4 linked regions of the Schizosaccharomyces pombe genome follow. Changing the gene in region 3 together with the main gene of any one other region gives a genetic interaction. Each region holds a gene or a part of one and is shown on either strand. Other genes may lie near its edges.

What was found.
Region 1: mutations in ers1 (region 3) and tos4 together harm fitness less than expected from each alone (positive genetic interaction), as found in Schizosaccharomyces pombe (2 studies listed by BioGRID).
Region 2: mutations in ers1 (region 3) and hrr1 together harm fitness less than expected from each alone (positive genetic interaction), as found in Schizosaccharomyces pombe (4 studies listed by BioGRID, with this or other methods).
Region 4: mutations in ers1 (region 3) and alp31 together harm fitness more than expected from each alone (negative genetic interaction), as found in Schizosaccharomyces pombe (2 studies listed by BioGRID).

Annotation. Positions count from the first base shown.
Region 1 is NC_003424.3:1,920,720-1,925,419, reverse strand, and holds tos4 (transcription factor), read right to left. Parts: upstream 2,878-4,700; 5' UTR 2,465-2,877; coding exon 2,335-2,464; exon of another isoform or gene 2,228-2,334; coding exon 657-2,227; 3' UTR 505-656; downstream 1-504. Other genes in the region: SNARE protein Bos1, read right to left, coding at 1-74, 147-243, 295-318.
Region 2 is NC_003421.2:2,027,790-2,034,707, reverse strand, and holds hrr1 (helicase Hrr1), read right to left. Parts: upstream 5,249-6,918; 5' UTR 5,054-5,248; coding exon 2,716-5,053; exon of another isoform or gene 2,675-2,715; coding exon 2,213-2,674; exon of another isoform or gene 2,171-2,212; coding exon 2,018-2,170; intron 1,970-2,017; coding exon 1,923-1,969; 3' UTR 1,677-1,922; coding exon of another isoform or gene 1,401-1,676; 3' UTR 1,359-1,400; coding exon of another isoform or gene 1,163-1,358; 3' UTR 1,112-1,162; coding exon of another isoform or gene 834-1,111; 3' UTR 777-833; coding exon of another isoform or gene 702-776; 3' UTR 503-701; downstream 1-502. Other genes in the region: protein Dms1, read left to right, coding at 702-776, 834-1,111, 1,163-1,358, 1,401-1,676; mrpl22 (mitochondrial 54S ribosomal protein uL22m), read left to right, coding at 5,678-6,427. UniProt on the Schizosaccharomyces pombe protein: Has a role in the RNA interference (RNAi) pathway which is important for heterochromatin formation and accurate chromosome segregation.
Region 3 is NC_003421.2:799,378-805,082, reverse strand, and holds ers1 (RNA-silencing factor Ers1), read right to left. Parts: upstream 3,926-5,705; 5' UTR 3,887-3,925; coding exon 3,856-3,886; exon of another isoform or gene 3,820-3,855; coding exon 3,744-3,819; exon of another isoform or gene 3,705-3,743; coding exon 3,656-3,704; exon of another isoform or gene 3,617-3,655; coding exon 3,567-3,616; exon of another isoform or gene 3,544-3,566; intron 3,512-3,543; coding exon 3,097-3,511; intron 3,052-3,096; coding exon 1,772-3,051; intron 1,723-1,771; exon of another isoform or gene 1,722-1,722; coding exon 1,674-1,721; exon of another isoform or gene 1,637-1,673; coding exon 1,526-1,636; exon of another isoform or gene 1,484-1,525; coding exon 1,202-1,483; intron 1,152-1,201; coding exon 1,065-1,151; intron 1,024-1,064; coding exon 582-1,023; 3' UTR 540-581; downstream 1-539. Other genes in the region: rRNA processing protein Ipi1, read left to right, coding at 1-456; protein Fta4, read right to left, coding at 4,465-5,024, 5,099-5,240. UniProt on the Schizosaccharomyces pombe protein: Involved in RNAi-dependent heterochromatin formation and centromeric silencing.
Region 4 is NC_003424.3:3,375,176-3,378,625, reverse strand, and holds alp31 (tubulin-specific chaperone cofactor A Alp31), read right to left. Parts: upstream 1,521-3,450; 5' UTR 1,479-1,520; coding exon 1,410-1,478; intron 1,347-1,409; coding exon 1,260-1,346; intron 1,108-1,259; coding exon 904-1,107; 3' UTR 726-903; coding exon of another isoform or gene 668-725; 3' UTR 623-667; coding exon of another isoform or gene 605-622; 3' UTR 558-604; downstream 1-557. Other genes in the region: SPOM_SPAC8E11.05C (uncharacterized protein), read right to left, coding at 1-354; SPOM_SPAC8E11.06 (uncharacterized protein), read left to right, coding at 532-557, 605-622, 668-725; SPOM_SPAC8E11.08C (uncharacterized protein), read right to left, coding at 2,808-3,110. UniProt on the Schizosaccharomyces pombe protein: Required for the maintenance of microtubule structures and cell polarity. Beta-tubulin-folding protein; may have a regulatory role in the tubulin-folding pathway.

The sequences.
Region 1 (4,700 bases), on a different chromosome or scaffold from region 3:
CAATTCCCTTTGGACCATACTATCGTAGTCATCAATGGATCTGGATAATGACAGAAATGAAGCTGAGATCTGGCCTAAATTGATTTGCATTAGTCTCATGAATAACTTGGTTAAAATAAGTACCATAATTATTCATCTACACATACCCTGAATTCCAGCTAACGATATAGTGTTGCTCTCATCTTGAACACCACGTTCTAACTCATCGAGGCTTCGCTGAATGGACTGAAACAACTTTGTACACTAGCGAAATACAAATTAATATGTTTTCTAAAACTTTAGGAAGTTACATACGTGATTATAAAGAGTATTGCTCATTCTCTTGCCGTAGTTGGTTCCAATATGAGGGTAATTTATTTTCTTGTCTTTGATATGACAACACATGTAGCAAGTAACACGTTACTTGAATGCTATATCAAAATTGTAAATAGCTTAAAGTAGCAATTTATTTCTATACATTGTAAATACAGTTTTATAAAAAAGAATGCGTTTTTTTACCCAAAATTCATATTAAATGTAAATCACTATTGAGTTCAATTGTATTTTGTTGAACCCCATTTGAAAAATCTAATAATTCCATTCGTAATAACGAAATGTATACAATATCAAAAAGCGAAATTTTATAGGGGTCGTGTCTGATGCCAGCATTCAATTCGTTATGAAAGACGACGACGCCTAGAAGAATGTCCCGATGAACGTGGACGAGCTCGGGGCTTTTTCCAATAATATTGTTTATGTACACGACGTGAGGATCTTACTGGTCTCATTAATGGAGCATATCTCATACGCCGTTCTAAATCATCATCCACATCTGGGTTATAAAACCATTCACTCCACAATGGATCACCATTAGCATCAGTTCCGTAACGTTTAACCTCTTCAAAGTAGGGGTGCTTGGCTGCCAAGTCTCGAAGCTTGTCCTGAATTAATTGAAGTGGCATATTGGAAGGAAATAAATGCGAAAGTGCAGGAAGGGGAGTAGTTGAAGTTGTTGAGAAAACCAATTCATCTAAAACCAATCCTAATAATAAGCTATCGGGAGCTGAATTTTCTTTTGTTGATTCTGAGTAATCATGGCTAGAAGGGAGGGATTCATTACTGTCATTAGTGTTCTCATCAACAGCAGAGATGCTTTCGTAGTCTTCAGGTTCCTTCTTTTCCACAACTGCTGAACTCAATTCAGGAGCCATTGGCTCAACTTCGTTCACTGGGGAATCATTTGAAGTTGTAATATTAGAATTCTTTGAGTCATCATTATGGTTTGTAAAATTAAGTTCAGAGATAACGTCCGTTAGTCCAGCGGACGATTCATCAATTTGTATAACGCTATCCCGTCTTACTGTTATAGGCTCTTTTGACTCTTCAATTGGAGTGTATTCTTCACCTTCACTAATTTCCTCATTTTTATCAAGATCATCACTCTCGATTTTTTCGTTCTCAAAAGAAACCTTAACTTCTCTTAAAACGATGTTATTATCATCAGTGCCATTGAGTAAATCGTCGGTGTTCTTTGGGAGAAAAGATGGTTTTAATTGTGTATTTTTGGAACAATCAGACTTTTCCACCTGACCATCTTTTTCTAAGGCAAGAAGCTTTTGTAACAAATCTTTGGATGGAGGAGGATATACTAATTCGTTACTACGCAAGTTTAGCTTAGGAATGGATTCGGAATTAGTGTACAATATGAGATGATTCTGATCGTTTTGATAGTCTTGAGAAGGAGGTGATGAAGGCATCAAAGGTAAAGCTTCTTGAGGTGAAGGAGACATAGGTTCACGATTTTCTTCATAATTTTTAGCATTAAGATTTCCTTCCCATTCATCTTCAGAATCACTTGGCCAACCAAGAAGAACTCGGTAACCGAATACATCCAGTACAGGACAAGCATCCGAATTCGGTCTTACCAGGACAATCCGATCATTTTTCTTCATGTGGAATACTGACTTCCTCATTTTATCAGACACAATCATCCCATTCCAACCCACGCACTCAATAATCATGCGGTCTTGTGTACAAGTTACAATAGCATGTACACGAGAAATTGCTTTATCAACCGTGGATAGGACATGGTCACATTGTTGACTAGAACGGCCAATTTTATTAACGCGATGTGAACGCATCCGTACAAAAGACATTGGAGAAAGTGGCTCTCTTCTCACTGCAGAAGCAGGCGAAGAGGGGGCATAGAATGTATTACTAGATGGCTCAGGCGTGAGGACGAATTGGCCTAAATTAATATTAGTAAAAGTTAGATTCAAGTCAATTGGTAAAGAGGCATGATTCTCTTTTGGTTTACACAGTTTTCTTAACTAATCACCGTGGAATCAACCTTACCCAATTGAGGCTTCTCAAAAGTCATTGATTGATTTGGATGTTTTGAGAGCCAACTTTTCTTGTGAGAAGCCATAGGCGATGAAGAGGGAATTGGAGAAGGCAGTAGCACATTTTGGCTAGAAATGTTCATACTGGCCAAAGGAGTATTCAAACAATTAAGGTTGAATTGTAACGCGAAGTATTGTCGTGATTTAAAGAAGGAATGAATTTCAAAATAACATAAATCGATTATTGTAACAAAACAAGGCAAGATTACAAAAGATCCGTGATCAAGGTGCCTTGTTTCAAAAAGTGTGAACTAGAAAAACAAAGAGTGTATATTAATAAAGGAAAAAATAGAAGCACGAATTAGTAATTTTTAGGTTAATGCCTGGGTATAAACACGCTATGATGTTCGAGCTTTACACCAAAAACAAAGGTTAAACAAAGCTATGTTTCATGCAAGACGAGAAGAAACGAGAGTAACCCAGTGCACAAAGATTTTTTTCAAATTAAATGAGCGTATTCTTCTCTAAACCCTTTCTGTGTTGAAAGATTGGTTATATAATTTACATTTTGCCTGAGATATGTGTTTATATATGATGGATGGTCGCGCGTCGTGCCGAGCCGCGTCGCGACGCGTTTTATTGATTTTGAAGCGCGATGTCGAAAAACGCGATTTCAAAGGGAGCTTGTTCCTTGAGGCTAAAGTTCAAGGCACAATAAAGGTGCATGCATATCTGCGTATACTGTTTGGTAGTAACAAAATTTTAAACACAAAGAATAATCCAGCAACAGTTATCTGTTGTAAGAAACAAAGAATGATGCTTCACCGATGATAGGGAAGCCAGTGTACGTTGACTTATATTAGCGTAAGAGATTCATTAGAAGGCTGGGATCACATTTGACCAAATGAGGTAGGGAAATAACATGTTTAGGTTCCTGGCGATAGTATTAAGTCCGGTAGTTTTCACAATACTTTTAAAAAAAACCACTTTTCTTAATATTTAACAAGATTTTGAATGATTATTGACTTTAAATATTTTGTATTATGAAATCCTGAAAATTTTTAATGTTTTGGCAATGTCATTGTATACTTGAGTGTCAACTAATAAATAATATGAAAAGTTGTTAATTATATTCGTGTAATTTATCAATGGTGCTCCTCACTATGAATTAAGCAGATAGGTAATATTGTTGCTACCCTCCCATATTATGTTTAATTAATTAAACGATAGTCTCGGTTAAATCCATTAAGGTCCAAAATCAGAAATCTGCTAAAATTCGCGATTTATTTCTTTTTATAGATATCGTTTAATTAATACATCCCACTCAACTCGCAGTTTGACTCAGAGTTAGTATGCAACCCACTAAAAGCACTACAATGCGTTGATACTATTAGGAGTTATTAAGATATTTATCCATTTATACATTCAGCAGTTTAAGTCGACGCTACTAAAGTTTGCGTATAGTGTAAACAAATTTGTTGGATTATTCGAATCGATGATGTATGTAATACTGGACCACTATTTGTAGTTCAGCAATCGAACACATTAAATTGCATTACCTATTAAATATGCTGATCTTGCAAATTAGAATTCTCTGTCAAATTATTCACTTCCCTTTTTTGTTTAAGCTTTACCAATTTTGTGCATCTCGTTCTTTTGATACTCCACTTCTCGTTAATTGTTTAGCAAAACAGAGAACAAGGATGAGTTTGTGAAATAGTGTAATACAGCGAATGTTTACGGAAATTACGCTAACATTAAATCGAATAAGGGTTCGTCTAAATACTGATTGCATTCAGACATTTTTGGGGCAGTTAAATCTGTAGATGGAAAAAGTGTGCGTTCTTATACGATTTAAATGACCAATTTTTTTCATGACTAATTCCAAACAATAATTCAACTAGCCGTTTATTTTTATATAATAAACAAAGTTCGTAATAATTCAGCTATCCGTCCGATTTACGTAAGTGTCGATTCACTCATACCACAATAGAACGAGTTTGATAAATTACCATGTCTTAGTTTCTTCAAAGGAATACTGAATATCCTTCATAAATACGAAAGATCCAATGCAATGTATTAGTCACACATCATCAATAATTTGGTCGAAGCAAAACATCCAACTTTAGCGTTCAGGGTAATATACATTGCTATTCTCAGCTTATAATATTCTAACGCAGTTTTCAATTCGTAAATGTTCCAAAAAAGTTCTCAGAACTTTCGAGTTGAATCAAGAACTACATGGAAGCTCTGAATACATCCTTTTCTATACATATTTTATATTTATTTGAAGTATATATATAAAATAATATTCTTTTCTTGTATGTTTATTTTATGAAAAGTTTATGGTACTCTCTTTCCATTACACATATATTCATC
Region 2 (6,918 bases), 1.2 Mb from region 3:
CAAAATGAATGAAAGTTTTAAGATCAGAGATACTTTTTCACTATAAAATTCTTCATGTCAAGGATTATTATAATCTCACTCTTTCTTACTCGGCGTCGATGATTTTCGGTTCAATAAAAAAAAACAAATTGTTGATTAAAAAGGAATAATAAAAAAGAACGAATCTTATTCTAACTCGCCTACATTTGTTATTATTTACCTACTTTTTTTCTGATATTTACTACTACATGCCCTTTTCAATAATTTGGTAACTCAAGTCACATGTTACTTCGATAACTTTTATGAAATTGTCTTCGTTCATCTTCAACCATTAGTCCCTTACGACTTAGTTGATGAATTTTACTTGAAGTTTACGATACTATTTAATTAGTAAATTTTTCAATCAATAGGAAAAACAAGAAGTTTTCTTATGGAAATGATAATATAGTTACAACTTGACTGACGGCATACTCCTTTCTGTATAAAAAACATAGTTAAGGTCTATTGATAGAATTTTTAATGTGTTTATGATAATATTTTTATTTATTAAAGCGAAATCGAGTTATTAACTTCCTTTTTTGTTCTGATTCACTGTTCTTTTGCATCTAAAATTAAATTTCTTTAAACTCCTTTCGCCGGAAGAAATTCAATCCCTTCGAGAACTATTTGCTTTCAAATCAAAATTTATTTTTGAAAATTTATTAAGTTTCACTTGTTGCAGTATGAATTCCGTTCCTAATGAATTGACGAAAAGCCAAGAGTTGTTTGGACAGATCTCCAAGATATCCCATTCGAAGGTAAGTTAAATCATTTCTATAGAAGCATCTTGTTTTCCTCTCTAACAATGGTTGCAGATTTCCATTTCCGAACTTATCACTCTCCTTGACATTCATTATAGTGAGCTGTTTACGAAAAACCCTTGGATGAAAAAAGAAGTCCGAAAGTTGGCTTCGGAATTTGTGGAGAATGATCCCAATCACCTTTTATCGAAACAGGACGCTTGTCATCTTATTGAAGCATTCGTAAACGTTTCTATCACTTCTCCTACATTACTTACCTCAGTGGATCCTGTTCTCTACCAGCAATTAGAGGCTTCAAGCACAAACGATATTTCCACTGTTTTCGAGGATGAGTATGTGATTGTATCTTTATCTTCGTTTACGTACTAACCCTGTTGATACAGAAGTTCCAGTTTGCCTATCATTTTACATCCAAAATTTTCTTCAATGCAAGTACGTACCGTTACTTCCCCTAAGGATGCATTTGTATCAGCCTTTGAGGAGAATAAGTTTCATTTCGCTGCCACGGAGTCCTTTTTTGAGATGGCTTTCTCCAAAATCGATTCATGTCTAACCTCCGTTCAATCTACTAAGAAAGATGTAAGAGCTAAAAAACTGATTCGTCAATTACTAATCTACCAGTCTATTAAATCCCGACTTGTTGAACGCTATATCCAAAATGAAGAATCTGTAAAGCGCCCGGACAAATCTCCATTTGACACAATGACGGAAGCAACTCTGCAAAGTTCTTCAGACAAAAGTGAAAATTTTACAAAGACATTACTGTCGAATGTTTTATCCACAATCCTGTCTGTTCAAGTTATTTTTGCAACAGTCATAGCCCTAATTGCTATATCTGTCTTTTGCTTCCTTCATACTTCTTCAAAAACGACATCCTCAAAAACTCGTCCATCATAATCGTTATACTTTCGGCTGTTCACTTAAATCATCCTGTGTCAAATTCTAGATATTTTTAAGCTATTGAAAAGCCTGTCGTGTTGTATCTTTATCGCGCTATTTGTCGAACTCAGTTCGTGAATATTATTTTCATTAAATCCCTTCTAATGCTTGTCAATATATTAAATGTGACTATTGACAAAAGTTTGTAAAAAAAAGTAGAAACCCTATAAATTTAAGTAAAAGTATAAATATATTAAAACCTCATTATTTCCTTGTCAATCGCATATTAACGTCAAGCAATTCAACAGGATCTACAGAGTGAGTCAGAAAATTAAACTGAAACTGCTTGCTTTTCTTACCATTTACATAAATTGTACCATCTTTGGTAAACAAAGGTAGGTGATCTCCTAGACCTTGTATTGTTTCATCATTCATGAGGGTATTTATTGCGTCCCACCACAAGGGATTCGACTCCGCAACAAGTTGCGCATTTCCAAATATAAACAATCCTCCTGATAATATGTTAATAATTCCTTTCATAAAATCTCACTTACTCCTAGCTCTAGATAAAGAAACACAAACGCGATGTGGGGAGGAAAGAAATCCGACCTCTGTCCGGTCATTGTTGCGCACAAGAGAAAGAAGAACGACATCATTCTCTTCCCCTTGATACCCATCTACAGTCGCGACTTTAATAAAATGTTTTTCTCTATTAAGAGACTCACTTAACAATCGCTCTATTAGATCCTTTTGAGCAGCATAAAACGTTAGGCAGGTAATTTTTTGAGGTTCAACGCCATTATTAATGAGATAGACTGCAAATTGAACTAACATCTGAGCTTCGAATAAATTAATTTTCGAAGCAAAGCCATCATTGTCTTCAATACGAGAATGAGTTAAAAAGAATCTCCTAATTTCGCCCATTCCCGGAATACTAGGCCAATACTTGGTAATTTCATAATCCGATAAATCTTCGTAAACAGAACTCACTAATCTTCGAATCTGGGGATGCATTCCTAAGGTCTGTTAGTAGGAAATTGTATTTAAAATTACTTACTTCTTTGCATTGTCAACCGAGTATATTCCATATCATTTTCAACTAATCGTTCAAACATAGATATTGATAAATTAAATGGATCTTGTCGTAATGCATAAGTTGAACAACCTGGTCTAAGTTGTTTGTGATCACCGATAAGAACCAATTGTTCTAAAGAAGGGAAAACAGCTGGAATAATCGGTCCTTCTAACACATCTGCTGCTTCCTCGATAAAGCAAATTTTTGGATTTATCCTTTCTAATATATCACGATACTTATTTAATCCAGTTGTGGTCATTCCAATTACGTTCGCTCCACGCAAAAGAATGGCTGCGCGTTTGTTTGAAAAACCAATACGCTCGCGGTCTACTTTCAGATAAAATCTATAGAGACGATTGAGTTCTTTTTCGGCAGCTGCATATGCCGATTCTAACCAGCGACAGTAAATGATTCCTCTACTATACTCTGGTATATCCCAAATATTTGGAATAGTGAGAAGGGTATCAATCTCCTTTTCATGAAGTGTTGTTAGCTTTGAAAATAGATATTTGCATCTTAAGTTAATAAATTTCCCTCTCAATTCCTCTTCCATTAAAGCACCACTGTCTTCTGCTTCTTTCTGAATTTCTTCCAGCTTTTCTGGATCAATTTGTAGTTCCTCCTCAAAACCATCCGTAATTTCTGATGGAGTGATAAGCTCCACTTTAGCATCGCCTAACCAGATACTTATTAATTCCTCTTCAGTTTTTTCGCCATTTTCCGCAACAGAACTGATCCACTCAGTGTTGTTACGAAGGGACTCGAGTTGCGAGGTCGTTATAATTCCCTTACTATGCAGATAGCTAAGAGTTACAAATTCAAGGTTGAAATTATGCATAATATTAGTTATTTGCTTGATTAAGCGTTGCTTTTTGTGACGAATCTCATTATAAGCAGCCTTAAATGAATGCTTGGTGTGCTTTGCTTTTTGAAAAATCGTAACCGCTGCAATCTCAGGATCCTTCGTTCTTGAACCTAGTCGCATTACTGAAGCGCCTTGATGCAATAAACGAATCAATATTTGATCGACTGCATGATTCGTTTGGCAAGCTACTAAAATCGGAAGAACATGGGAGTGAGTATTCTCAAGTAATGTTTCTATGGCTTTAAGAGTAACAAAGCTTTTACCAGTCCCTGGAGGGCCTTGAATAATGGAGAGTCTCTTAGTCAGCATGGACTGGTAAGCTTTTAACTGTGACGAGTCTAGTATATACTCGCCAGGACCGAACGGCTCAAGAGCATTTACGATTTTTTGAGAGTTATTTTTTAAGATAGAATTTATGCGTATCCTAGGATTATTTTGTATGTGTTTAGCAGTCTCCTGATTACTTTTACAGTGTACCAAGTAATCCTTCATCGGGAATGTGCTAGCAGAAAGCCTCTGTAATGAACGAAGAACATGCTTGTAAGCTTCCCAATAGCCTGAAGTAGCTTCGATCATAACATATTCTTCTCGAGGATCTAAAGAGATACTAATATCTTCAAATTTGACATCTATTTCATGAGGATGTTTATTAAGGCCACTCAAGGGCCGCGCACAGACAGTTCCAATGCGAAAAGTCTGGAAATCATCATTGCTTAATAAAACTAAAGATCCACTGATAAGACGACGACTGGTAGCCCATTTTATTTTTTTCTTAGCGCGAACACTGAAGGATAATTTTGCAGCTATAACACTGGAAGATATTGTATAGCCATCTATCCGCACATGATCATATACGGCTAACGAAGAGCCGGTAATGTAATTGGGGTTTACCTTGTACCGAAGCACACTTTCTCGTAATGGGGAAACTGCGTCCTCACGTAGCAACCGATAGTGTATAGATAAGTAATCTTCAAAGGACTTGTATCCTCCGTATATGTTGTTTGAAGGTAATTCAACACTCTTTGACGTCAATTCTTCCAACGTTGGAATTGATGGTAGTTCCCGCCAAGAAGAAGTATCGCTTGCGGGATGGTGTTCGTTTTCGAATTCTCTATTTTTTCCCGATGTTATATCATTTCTCTTTACATTACTCAATTCATAATCGTTGTCAATGCTTCTCTTACGACGTATTGACTTGTTTTCTTTTAAATTTTTATCAACTTTGTTCCCCTCCGAGTCTTGGGTTTTGGAGGTTTCAGAAGTCTCGATTTGTTCTGTGAAACTCGTAGTATTATTATCGGCGTTAAAGATGTTGCTATACAATGGGTGTCTTTTCATTTCACTTAAAGTTTCTGGCTCGGGGATTTCATCAAACACAACTTCTGTATTTTTGTTCACCATTTCCCAGGCGTCCAGCGTACTTAACTTCCAAATTTCATCTTGTACTTGTTCCATAATAAAAAAGAAAAGGATAATATCCAAAAAATTTCAAAAGGTTATTGTACTAAAATATCTCAGTACGCGCCCACTAGGTCGTAATATTAATCTCGTCCTCCCCAAAGAAGCTAAAAGATATCATAAATAACAATTCATGTACAGTCTCTGCACCTGTCTCTAATATTATTTGTCTAACATACAAATGGGTTGTTTGTTTACTGCCAAGGGCCGTTTTCTGTCTTTACGTGACCATGCATTTAACGCGTTCAGATAATACCCGCAATGTGCAGCTTAGTGTGCCAGCATAAAGCATGTAAGCATGTGTTAACATCGTTGTAAAGTTACCTTATCGTAGTTTATCCATCCTTGAAATAGATTTACAAACTGAGTAGCTTGCATAGTGATAGTGAGCTCTCTCATTTAAGATTTTTATAACTGTATAAGGAGGGAAATGCTAACTGACCTATAACATAGTACAGTTAGCAATTCGTTAGGTTGCAATTCCTATTAGTACCACCTTGGCATGTAATATTTACCTGGTTTTGTTACAACATTGAGAAAGCGCATTTGCTCAAATTAGTCGAAAACGTTGACTTCTATGTGTGGAAGGAATATTTGGGAAAAAATTTTTAAGATTTAATTATGAAATACATTAATCAATTTATGAAAATATCAAAGGGCTTTTTAGTTCCATCGTCCACGATAGGATTGAATTCTAAAACGTACCATTACAAATTTCCATTACTTTCTTTTGTTAGAGAATTTTCAAATGGATCCTACTTAAGGGAGTCTGCACAAAATCCTGCAAATTTGGGTTCGCAAAAAGGGTCCGACATTTTCTCAATGCTTGCTAACCAGAAGGACGATTCTAATCGTCAGCAAAAGGAAGAGCGTGTAAAAGAGAGACCAAGGTCACGTATTTCTTTCAAAAAACAGGAGACCATGGATCCTTCCTACACCTTACAATCAATGGTGCTTCGCTCCTCTTTAAAGAAAGTCGGCGCTTTGTGTCGTCAAATTGCCCATAAGCCATTTTATCATGCTTTACTTCAAATGAAAATGTCAGATAAAAAAATTTCCAAGTACATCGCAACTGCTTTGGTTTCTGCTCGAGAAAACGCTGTTCGTGAAGCTGGTCTTGATGAGAGTACTCTCTACGTTGATCAAATATGGGTTGGAAAGGCAAAGTATTTAAAGAAACTTATCACTATGGGCCGTGGAGGTCGTGCCATTGAGAGATCTCCACGGGTTCGAGTTACTGTTGTTTTAAGAGATGAGCGAGCTCTCTTGCGCGATTTACAGCGTCGTCAACAAAGACTAGAAAGAAAGAAAGTTTGGACGCCTCTGCCTAACCGACCAATATACCTAAAATCTAACTTTTTCACTTGCTAAGTCATTATTGAGATGCCCATATCTTTGATACTCTAATAATATTTCCCCCCAATATCGTTTATAGTAATTCTAGTGCCGTTTTTTTTTTATGAGAATATGGTTTCCCTTATTATTTATTTCTTTAGCAACGCCATAATTTTGTATTTACCTCTATGGTGCTGATGGTATCAGTAGAAAAATAGTACTGTAAAAAGGTAAACTAACCAACCTGTACATACATCACTTTTAGTTCAATGATACGTTTTCGTAAAGAACGCAATTCTTTTTAAACTGTCTAATCTTATTAAATCATTCATGCAATCGTTTGCCTCATTAACATTTTTCAAATTTGGTTTGAAGCATTGCAACGAGCTTCTTTTTTTGACTTTTCAAAACGTGCTTTGGACCATATGTTGAAGCTATCCATATCTCTTCACCATTTTGACACATATTTATTGGTTCTAAATTCATCAGACACTTTTAAACAATCAAGCAAACCGAGTATAAAATAT
Region 3 (5,705 bases):
GTAATACATCCGAAATACGAGGCGTTTAGATCTCCTTGTTCATTTGCATATTTGTCGCTATTCAATCCAAATAAACACGATCTTGTCGATAACCCTACTTTCCGTTGGCAGACAATATATCCTTTAATACCTGGAATTATAGAATTCATTAGAAACTCGTGGTCTGACGCTTGCCCAGTTGTTAAAGATGGATCCAACTCTCCGTCTGCTTCAAAAGTTTGTAGAACGGTTTTATCGATGCTTGGATTGTTTACTGAACAAGTTTTCAGTGTAGCTGATGAACCCAACAATCATAGGAAGAAAATATCTCAAGTTTTAAGAAAAATAAATAGGGACATAGAGTTGATAAATATCAATTATGGAACAGATTCCGAATGGAGAGGTGTATTGAAAGGATACGATAAATTGCGCGAGCGTGCAGTGGAATTGGATGCATTGGAGAACCCGGGTAAATGAAACTGACTCTATATGTTTCGTTTTAAATGGGTCCTCGCATTGTTTTAATTTAAGAATTTGGTTTGAGGGGTTATTTATGTTAAGTGGTATAAACAAAATTGATATTAACGCATAAATAAAATTAATTAAATAGTAGGGTGTATCCCCCCTAATTGATTCACCATAATAATTGCTGCAGTATACAAGTCTGAAACATTCTCAGTAATAGCCCCACCAATGAATTGTTTATTTGCAAGTTTCCACGGAGCCGTTTCTCCTGCGCGTATACTGTTATTATATTTGAACTGAGACTGCATGTACACACTTTGTATACTTAGACTGAAACAGGATTCTATAGGTTTGCTTTCCTTGGATCTGTCGAGACAAACGAAGGCTTCTTTGGAATTAATAGATGACGGGCTAATGTCATAGCTCTTAACTTTTGAACATTTTAATATAAATTCTAGAGAGTGAGGGAGTAAATTTTTGTTAAAAGGTACAGAGTTTTCATTAATTCTTGTGACCGAATGAATTATTACTCTGTCTTCCATATTTCCAAAGACTAACAGTAAATCCTTATTTACGTTTCTAGTCAACTGATTAGTCGAAGCTTTCAGAAATTGACATACCTAAATCTAATACTTTTGGAGAACTCTGTAAGTATCGCATCATTTAAAGGGACTTTCGTTTCGATACGTAGACGGGAATCCCATAAGCTATAAGTCATGATTAGTTGTTTTTTTCCTTAAAAACATTCATAACATACGCTAAAGGAAAATTGATAGTGCAAGTAGAAGATTGCTTAGAATCTTTATAAAACGCAAACTGATCTAACTTTGAAGAACAAATCATCGAAAAAAATACAGTGGAATCCTCTGTCTTGTTTCTCTTATCATCTGTAAATAATAAACTTCCCTTGAAAACAAAGTAATTCTTTGAATCTAATACTTCATGCTCTATTAAAGGATAAGTATACTCAGTACGTCCAAACAAAATTTTCACAGGAGTATTCAATAATGAATCGATATTCGAAACTGATTTGGTAATGCTTTATAAAAAGGTTAATATAACATATGAAGACTCAACCTACCAGTCTGCAAAATATGATCGGGGAAGATTCAAATCCTTATATATATTCATAAAACCATGTGAACAAGCCGACACATCTGATGAGATATTTGGATATAGTATGACGCCAAACCTGTTGGATTAATATTTATTCAAAAATAAACGCATACTCTAAATTCAATTCAATTTCACCTGAAAAGGATTGAAGTACATGCAAGCTAAACAAAGTGTTAGACTTATGTTTACATATTTAGTCAATACCACAGACCTTCTAGATAACCATCTGTGCAATGATTTCAAATTCATGTTGTCAATCTCTTCGTGATTAATGTATTTTTCAGAGCATACTATTTTTGGTTGAAATAAGTATAAGCTTCCCACACCGTAGCTTGATACCGGATTGGAAGACATTAGAATTGTATAATAGTTGTCACCAAGGTCGTCCATTTTCTCATCTTGTAAACGTAAAAACTTCATGTCAATTGAAGGAGTTAAGCTGCCAGATTTTGGAGTGGAACAATCTGATCCTTTGTCAAGCTCTAAACATTCTACACTTAATAGGTTTTTAGACTTTGAATCGTCGAAATCCAATTTTGCGCAATTTTGTCGCAAAGATTTATGAACATCATTAGCGTTAACTTCATTAAATTCATTTGAATTGACCAATTGAAAAGTCTGAGACTGTTTAGTTATTGCTTCGTCAACAGTATTACCATCCGAAGAAACAGAATATCTAGTAACCAGCTCTTCTTCAGGTTCCAATGGTAAAGTATTGCTCGTAGGTCGAGGAGGAAGCTGAAATTTGAACCGAGGAGGCTGCTTGCTATTAGACTTATTAATTGAATGCTCAATTGCAGTTGTTTTATCTTGGAAATGGGTCAAAGATGAAGTTCCTAAAATTTGCTTATCAATCGTGGGTAATTTATTCAACTTGTTCATAATCATTTCTTCAAAATTTGACGGATTATTCTGGTTAACAACAGGATCAACTGCTCTCCTTCCTTGATGAATTGAATTATCAGATAATTCGGTTGACGAAGAATGAAAATTTGACGGCTTTTGTAAGACTGGGATCGACAAATTGGATGAAGTTTTATTTAACTCGTAAAATCTGTGCGCTGGTTTCGGAGAAGAGAAGTTTAAAGAAACACCTGCAAATATTTTACATCCTATCAGCTTTATATCATCAGAAAATATTTTAAAATTATCATTACAGGGAGGGGTTTTGGAAGGATTTTTAGCAAAAACTGGTACCAACTCATAAGAATCACCATCATGTTTATTTCTCAATAATCTCATAGTATAAAAAGATCCAAGGATATTGAAAACGCTTTTGAAAATAGATGTCGTATGCATAGCTGTGTATAAAATCTCGTTTTCAAATTTTAATTTTAGAAATTTCAGTTGGCAGGGTGCAATCTTTCCTGCATAAACAAGAGTTTCTTCAGGATATTCATAGACTTTCTGGGACACTAAATTCTCTATATGCTTCATTTTCTCCAACATAGCATTAATGTCCTGATCGTTATTGGCTAATACAACTATTTTCTAGTCAAAAGTTAGGATGGTAGAAGTATCTTCACAAATACATACATTATCTTTTAAAGAAGCCTTGTATTTTGTGTTGGTAGCATGCGCAAACTCCTTGAGCAAATCATTATTGTCGGGAAGGTAAAATAATCGCTTGAAACTCCCGTTGTAAACAGTAGGCGAATAAATGACCTGTTTAAAATTTCCTTCCCATTCAAAAGGAGTAATGATTTTAGGTTTTATCAAGCAAGGAATATAAAAATCGGAGGATGTCGGTTTCTTGCCCACTTTAGACTTAACAATGTCCTCATTTTCTTTTATTTTCACATCTTCAATACCGTATCCTAAGTCTAAGTACCTTTGAAAATTCAATAAAGTAGTAAAATCATAATGCAATTGCCCGAATGGATGAATATCTAGGCGTGGTTTCTTGTAAACAGTTGATTCGCGCTTCAACTTTTGAACTATTTCCTCAAAACTAGCATGTTAATTAATATTTAAAATAATATTTAGGATGAACGCATGGAACTTACAGACTAAACGCTTCTCTTTTGTGTTCCTCGTACACTATGACTTTGAATTGCTGAATTATTAGCGTCAATAGCTAGGATATATAAAATACCTGAGATGAAGAAGAGTAAGAAATTTTTACTTTTCCATTATATTCAGAACTATATCATCAGTAATAGTCCATTTGCGCAAAACCATACTTTATACAATTTGTGAAGGAGGATATAAATTCAGCATTTAAAAGCAACGCTGTATCGATATAAAATTTAAAAAATCCTAATATTAGCAAAAGAATGATACACATTGACTTACCAGATTGATTGTTTGCAGATACTTTACCCATCACTCATTTCATCGAGCTTACAGATGGTACATGCTATATGCAGCTTCAGAATATAAGTGAAGTAATATGAATTCATTAGGAATATAAAGCTTTATGAATTATCAGAAGAAAAGAAAAATAATTAAATCTATAGTTCCTTGTATGTAGGTATTATAATTGTGATAAAATTAATGTTAACGTACTTACAATCGAGAGCTGAGTATTTGAATTATAAGCTGTAATGATTCATTAAAGGTTAGAAACACTGTAAACTAAAAAATAAAACTAAGACAATTGTTAAGAAACGTATTTTGTTTAGCGGACACTCATTTGTAAATAAAAATGTGTTGTCTTATCAACTAACTTAATGCCTCCCAAAGCTAGGAAATCATTAACCAATAAATATCTGAACGTAAAGTAGAAGCTTCAAAGTTATTTCTATAGCCCCAACATTTCTAGTAGAGTCAATAAAATCCTTAAACCAGGAAATAAGGCACCCTCTCCTCCAATTAAGTATTAGTCATTATTTCAAAAGCAGATGATGAGATGCAATAGGAGTTCATGAACATCATTCCCTCTCAATTTCTACGAAAAGTTTTTTAATCATCAGAAATAGTTTTTTCGAATAATTGGCTTCTGATTTCGTCCTCCAATGACGCTTCCTGATTGTCATTGTTTAAAGAAGGAAATGAAACCCCTCTGAGAAGAGAATTAATTTTAGCTACCATGGTGTTCGTACTGTTGAGGGTTGATATCAATTCAGGGTTTTTCTTCCACATATTCGTATGTATTGAAGAAGGCCCATCTTCAAAAGGTTCCAACATTTTTTCGATTTGCTCAAGTTCAGAGCGCTCCTGTTCTAATTCTGACAACGTTGTTAATAGACCAAGTAACTCTCCCGTAAGACGATTGAACTTCTCTTGCTCCTCATCCTTTTCGACAGGTCGGGATTCTTTTTGAAAAGGCCATGGATGGGGAAGTGATTTTACACTGTCTAAATTGCTTAAATCAATTTCTCCATAAAATAATGGATTTAAAAAGGTAATGTCCTCAATAGCGCTATTTTGTTCATATAACTTTCGTATTTGAGCGGCAACATGCTGAGTTGCTTGATGTGAATAATTTAGCTTTGCATGCTTTTGGATACGAAGTTGCAATCCTGTTTTGGTTAATAATAATATTTTGAACTTTTTATTTGTAGGAGAAATCCAGACAAAAGCATGGAACACGTACGTTGGAATACAGTTTCAACGACTGATTCTGAAAGCTGACCGGATTTTAAAGGAAGTTTCCAATCCTTTGGAGGGCGCATAGGTCGGTTCAACAGCCGTATCTGTCGTTCCATGAATGATTTTTTATGTTCGTAAATATCCATTTAGGAAGTAAATTTGATTTAAATCAAGATTATCAGGATTAAAATAAAAACAGTTGAATACTGATCGAAAAACAAGTCAATATGGTATTGAAATTAACAAAGCAAGTTCACGCAAAGGCAACAAACTAACAGCGACTTTTGAGCATATAGACGTCTTCAGTGTAAGCACTTCCAAAATTAATTACTTAACAAAAAAAGACCAAATCAATCAGACCTTGGCTGATGGTTGATTAATGACAAATTTTGAGAAAGTTACAGGAGACTAAAGAAGTCGAAAAGTCGAGCGACTAAATAGAATACTTTGAATGATGTTAAAATGAAGATTTTATGTACATAATCATTAAGCTAGCTCCTTAGAAAGGACTCGTCTAATGCGAGTTAAAAAATTAGTGCATATATCAGTTCTAAGATATAGCGAAGAGAGTAATATTCTATGAAGGATGAACCCTAGAGTATAGTGTATTG
Region 4 (3,450 bases), on a different chromosome or scaffold from region 3:
TTCAACTTTTTTCTCCATTTCATTGTCTACAATGCCTGATTGGGAAATACTAGCTTCTCTATTAATACTAAGACTCTCCGCCCAAACAGTTGATGTAGCGTCAAGGTCAAGTTTAGATGCTTCAACGACTTTTTGGTTTTTAGAATCGTAATCCTCTACAGGATTTAAATCATCTTCTTCAAGAAGGTGTGGATCTATTTTTGTATCAGCTCCCTCTTCGCCATCTACATCTTCCTTCAACGATGAAGATGCAGAAGGGTCAATATTTACTTCAGAGTTGCCGCCGTCAGATTTCTTCTCTTCTTCTAAACCCAACACAGGTGATTCCCTTGATAATATTGGCGGACTTGCCATAGGTATACAAATGGAACGTTTTATGCTCCCAATCTGTTTAATGTTCACGCGAAGTGTTTCTTTCTCTTTGCTCAGATGGTAAGTAACGTCAAACAATGAGCTGTACAATCTAACATAGTGATACGCTACATTACACTCACAATAAAAGTGCAAATAAATACTAGAGGACGACTGTCTATGCTGCTTGTTAGCAGGAACATTTGGTTGTTTTAAAATTGTTTGATTGTCCAGCTAAAATTTAAATCTCTAGTAGAATAAAGGGGAATACGTATGTTTTTTTATGTGAACAGTTTCACCTAACTGGCAAAATTAGAATAGATTGGCGAAATCTTAAAAAAGATTTAAGCATGACTTGGATAATCCTTAAGTAGTTGGGATTGTCTATTATTTTAATGGATTGGAATAAAAATCGAAGACACAGTACAGTTGAGTAGGATAGCATTGAAAGGGTGGGTAAAGAATGATGAACGTAGAACCTTTTCATGATCGTCTTTTGAAGGGTCAGTAATAAATTTTAGCAGGGATCTACAAAAGCTAGTAAATGTGTATTCAGTGGTACCCATTCGTGGGGAAATTCGTTTGCTCTTTTTCAATTACTTCTTTTGCTTTTTCTAAATATTCATTTGCTTGTTCAAGTTCAGGAGTTCCTTCGTATGCACTGTCAGAAGAAATGGATTCCAAGTCGTTCGTCGCATTACGAAGACGTACAAGAGCATCTGGCAACGCCTCAAGATGCTTCTTCAAAACAAATTTCTAGAGGTCCAGAATGTCAGTACTTTGATTATTTTTTATTTTAAAAAAGATACGCTAAAGCGGAAACCACCGAAAAGTATCTTCAGCTTGGTAGAAACATCTTCTAGCACAACACGTCCAACGTTTATATGGTTTCAACTAATGCAACATACCTGATGCTCAATTTCTGCAGAATCTTCCCCATTATCAATTTTACTTTGTACACGTTTCTCGGCCTCGTTAATATCGATATGAGCCAACTAAACAATTGTTGAGGTCAGAAAATTCCATCTACAAAATCGCGATCCAAAAAGGAAACTTACTTCTACATCTTTAATAATTCTTTTAACGACATTAGTTTTGATGACTAAGCTCCTAACAGTATTTGACATGGTAGAAAATAAAATGGACGCGATATGCAAAGGAATAATGTTAGGTTGGATGATTTTCCTTGACTGCAGTGTAGGTAACGTTGGAATACAAAGGAATGCTAATGTTAGCGTGTGGTGATAAGTTACGAGAAACGATTAAGAAAAGCTAGTTCTAGTTAAGTTTTCAATTTCTTTTAAAGCCCTTTCCTTAAATTCCTAAAAAAGGGTATTTGATTAAATGTTTGCATCAAGTATCAGACTAGTTATTGATCGACAAACGTTTCATTCCTATATTATGTATGAGATAAAATTGCTCAGTTATTTCTAAATTTACGATTCACCGATACTTGTACCAAAAATTTCATGCTTTTATGGATGCTCAATCATATGGGAGGTTGAGCTTTTCGGGATTCAGCTATATGAAAATTTTCTAGCGCGTAATTCATTATATTTAGACGTAATTGCTTTTACAAATATTTTCCAAAACAAAAATTTCTGATTCTCCGTACACACAGTTATCTCCCAACAACCGAAATTGTTAAAAGCACGATTTCATATAAGGATAGGTTGATTGCTAATCACTCGAACCACAGTCTGTTAATAATTAGTCAACTTTGCCTAGCCAAAAAAATTCAGCTTCTATCTTAATCCTTGGAAAACAAAAAATAAAAAAAGGACCTAATACCCTCTTTCAAAGTAGATCCTGTACAAGATATTTAGTCTACTCAAAAAGCCGGTACAACGATATTAATGTCAACAGACTTCGGTATAATGGGACCAGTCTTCAATGTGAGGATAATAGCTAAAATCCTTTACTCTATATAGGACTTTAAATGGATCCTTGAATATTATTCTGTTTTCTAAAATGATTGATCATATTCTACGCCACAGATGCATCAAAAATTCAAATCATCGCTTGGGAGATAAAAGAGTGAACGCTTTTTCATAATCGAACAGCAACCTTTCGAACCCTAGTAGTCATTAGTATTTTAATCCACTTTTTTTTTTGCAAAGCTATGAAAAACAAAGACTGCAACCTGGTATAAGCATTTTAAACATATCGTACTTTGCGTGATCTAACAAATTAATCTCTATCTTGTCAGTTCACAACTTTGGACAGATACAGATGATGAATTTCGACAATTAAACATTTGCAAACAAGTCAAAGCTCAACATACAAGCATTCACTGTTTAACGCTTTTTGAACTTTCTCATTTCCTGAAACGTTTGTTTACAAGCTGATATAAAAAAAGGGATTGAATTGAACGGCTCAGTTGATATAGATTAATTTAAAAAGTGAACTCCGTTTAGAAAGTATCGCATAAGTTAAAAAATGGTATTCAAACAAAGCTAACAAAAACGAAACAAATCGCATTTTCCCATGAAAAATACAAGGTTGTTCGGAAAACTGCATATTTGAACATGATGACAGCCAAGAAGAAAAATAGAAGGATTTATTAGAATTCCCTTAAACTTTTCATTATAGTCTTTTCGGTACGGTAACAACCATATATACAATCTATACATTTCTTCAGACCATTCAAATCTTAAAATGGAGCTCCCCTTCAATTGAAGAAACGGAAAATTTTTTCTTGTCAAATTTTTACAGACTACTAACCTACTAAACAGAACCTCATTAGTGGTAAAGTCCATTTTAATACTTCTTGCTTATTAATTCATTATTTTATTGCCGTAAAACATAAATTATCCTTTTATTTTCTTCTTCTTTTCTTCCCTTGTATAATACTCATTTTTCGCCAAGTCTCAAGTATTCCAGTGTTCGATTCCGACCATGGAAACGATCTCGGTCGGGTAAAATGAAGACTCTGGTAGTCTCCAGGCTATTGCATCTCGTTCAGATTTGGGTTGATCTTCTGGAACAATGCGGGCAACTGGTAGAACGTTAATGAGGGAACAGATGAAAAACTGGAAACCTAGATGCGTGACAGGAGAATCTGGTGTTCTTTTTTTTTGAATAAGTATATTTAATAGT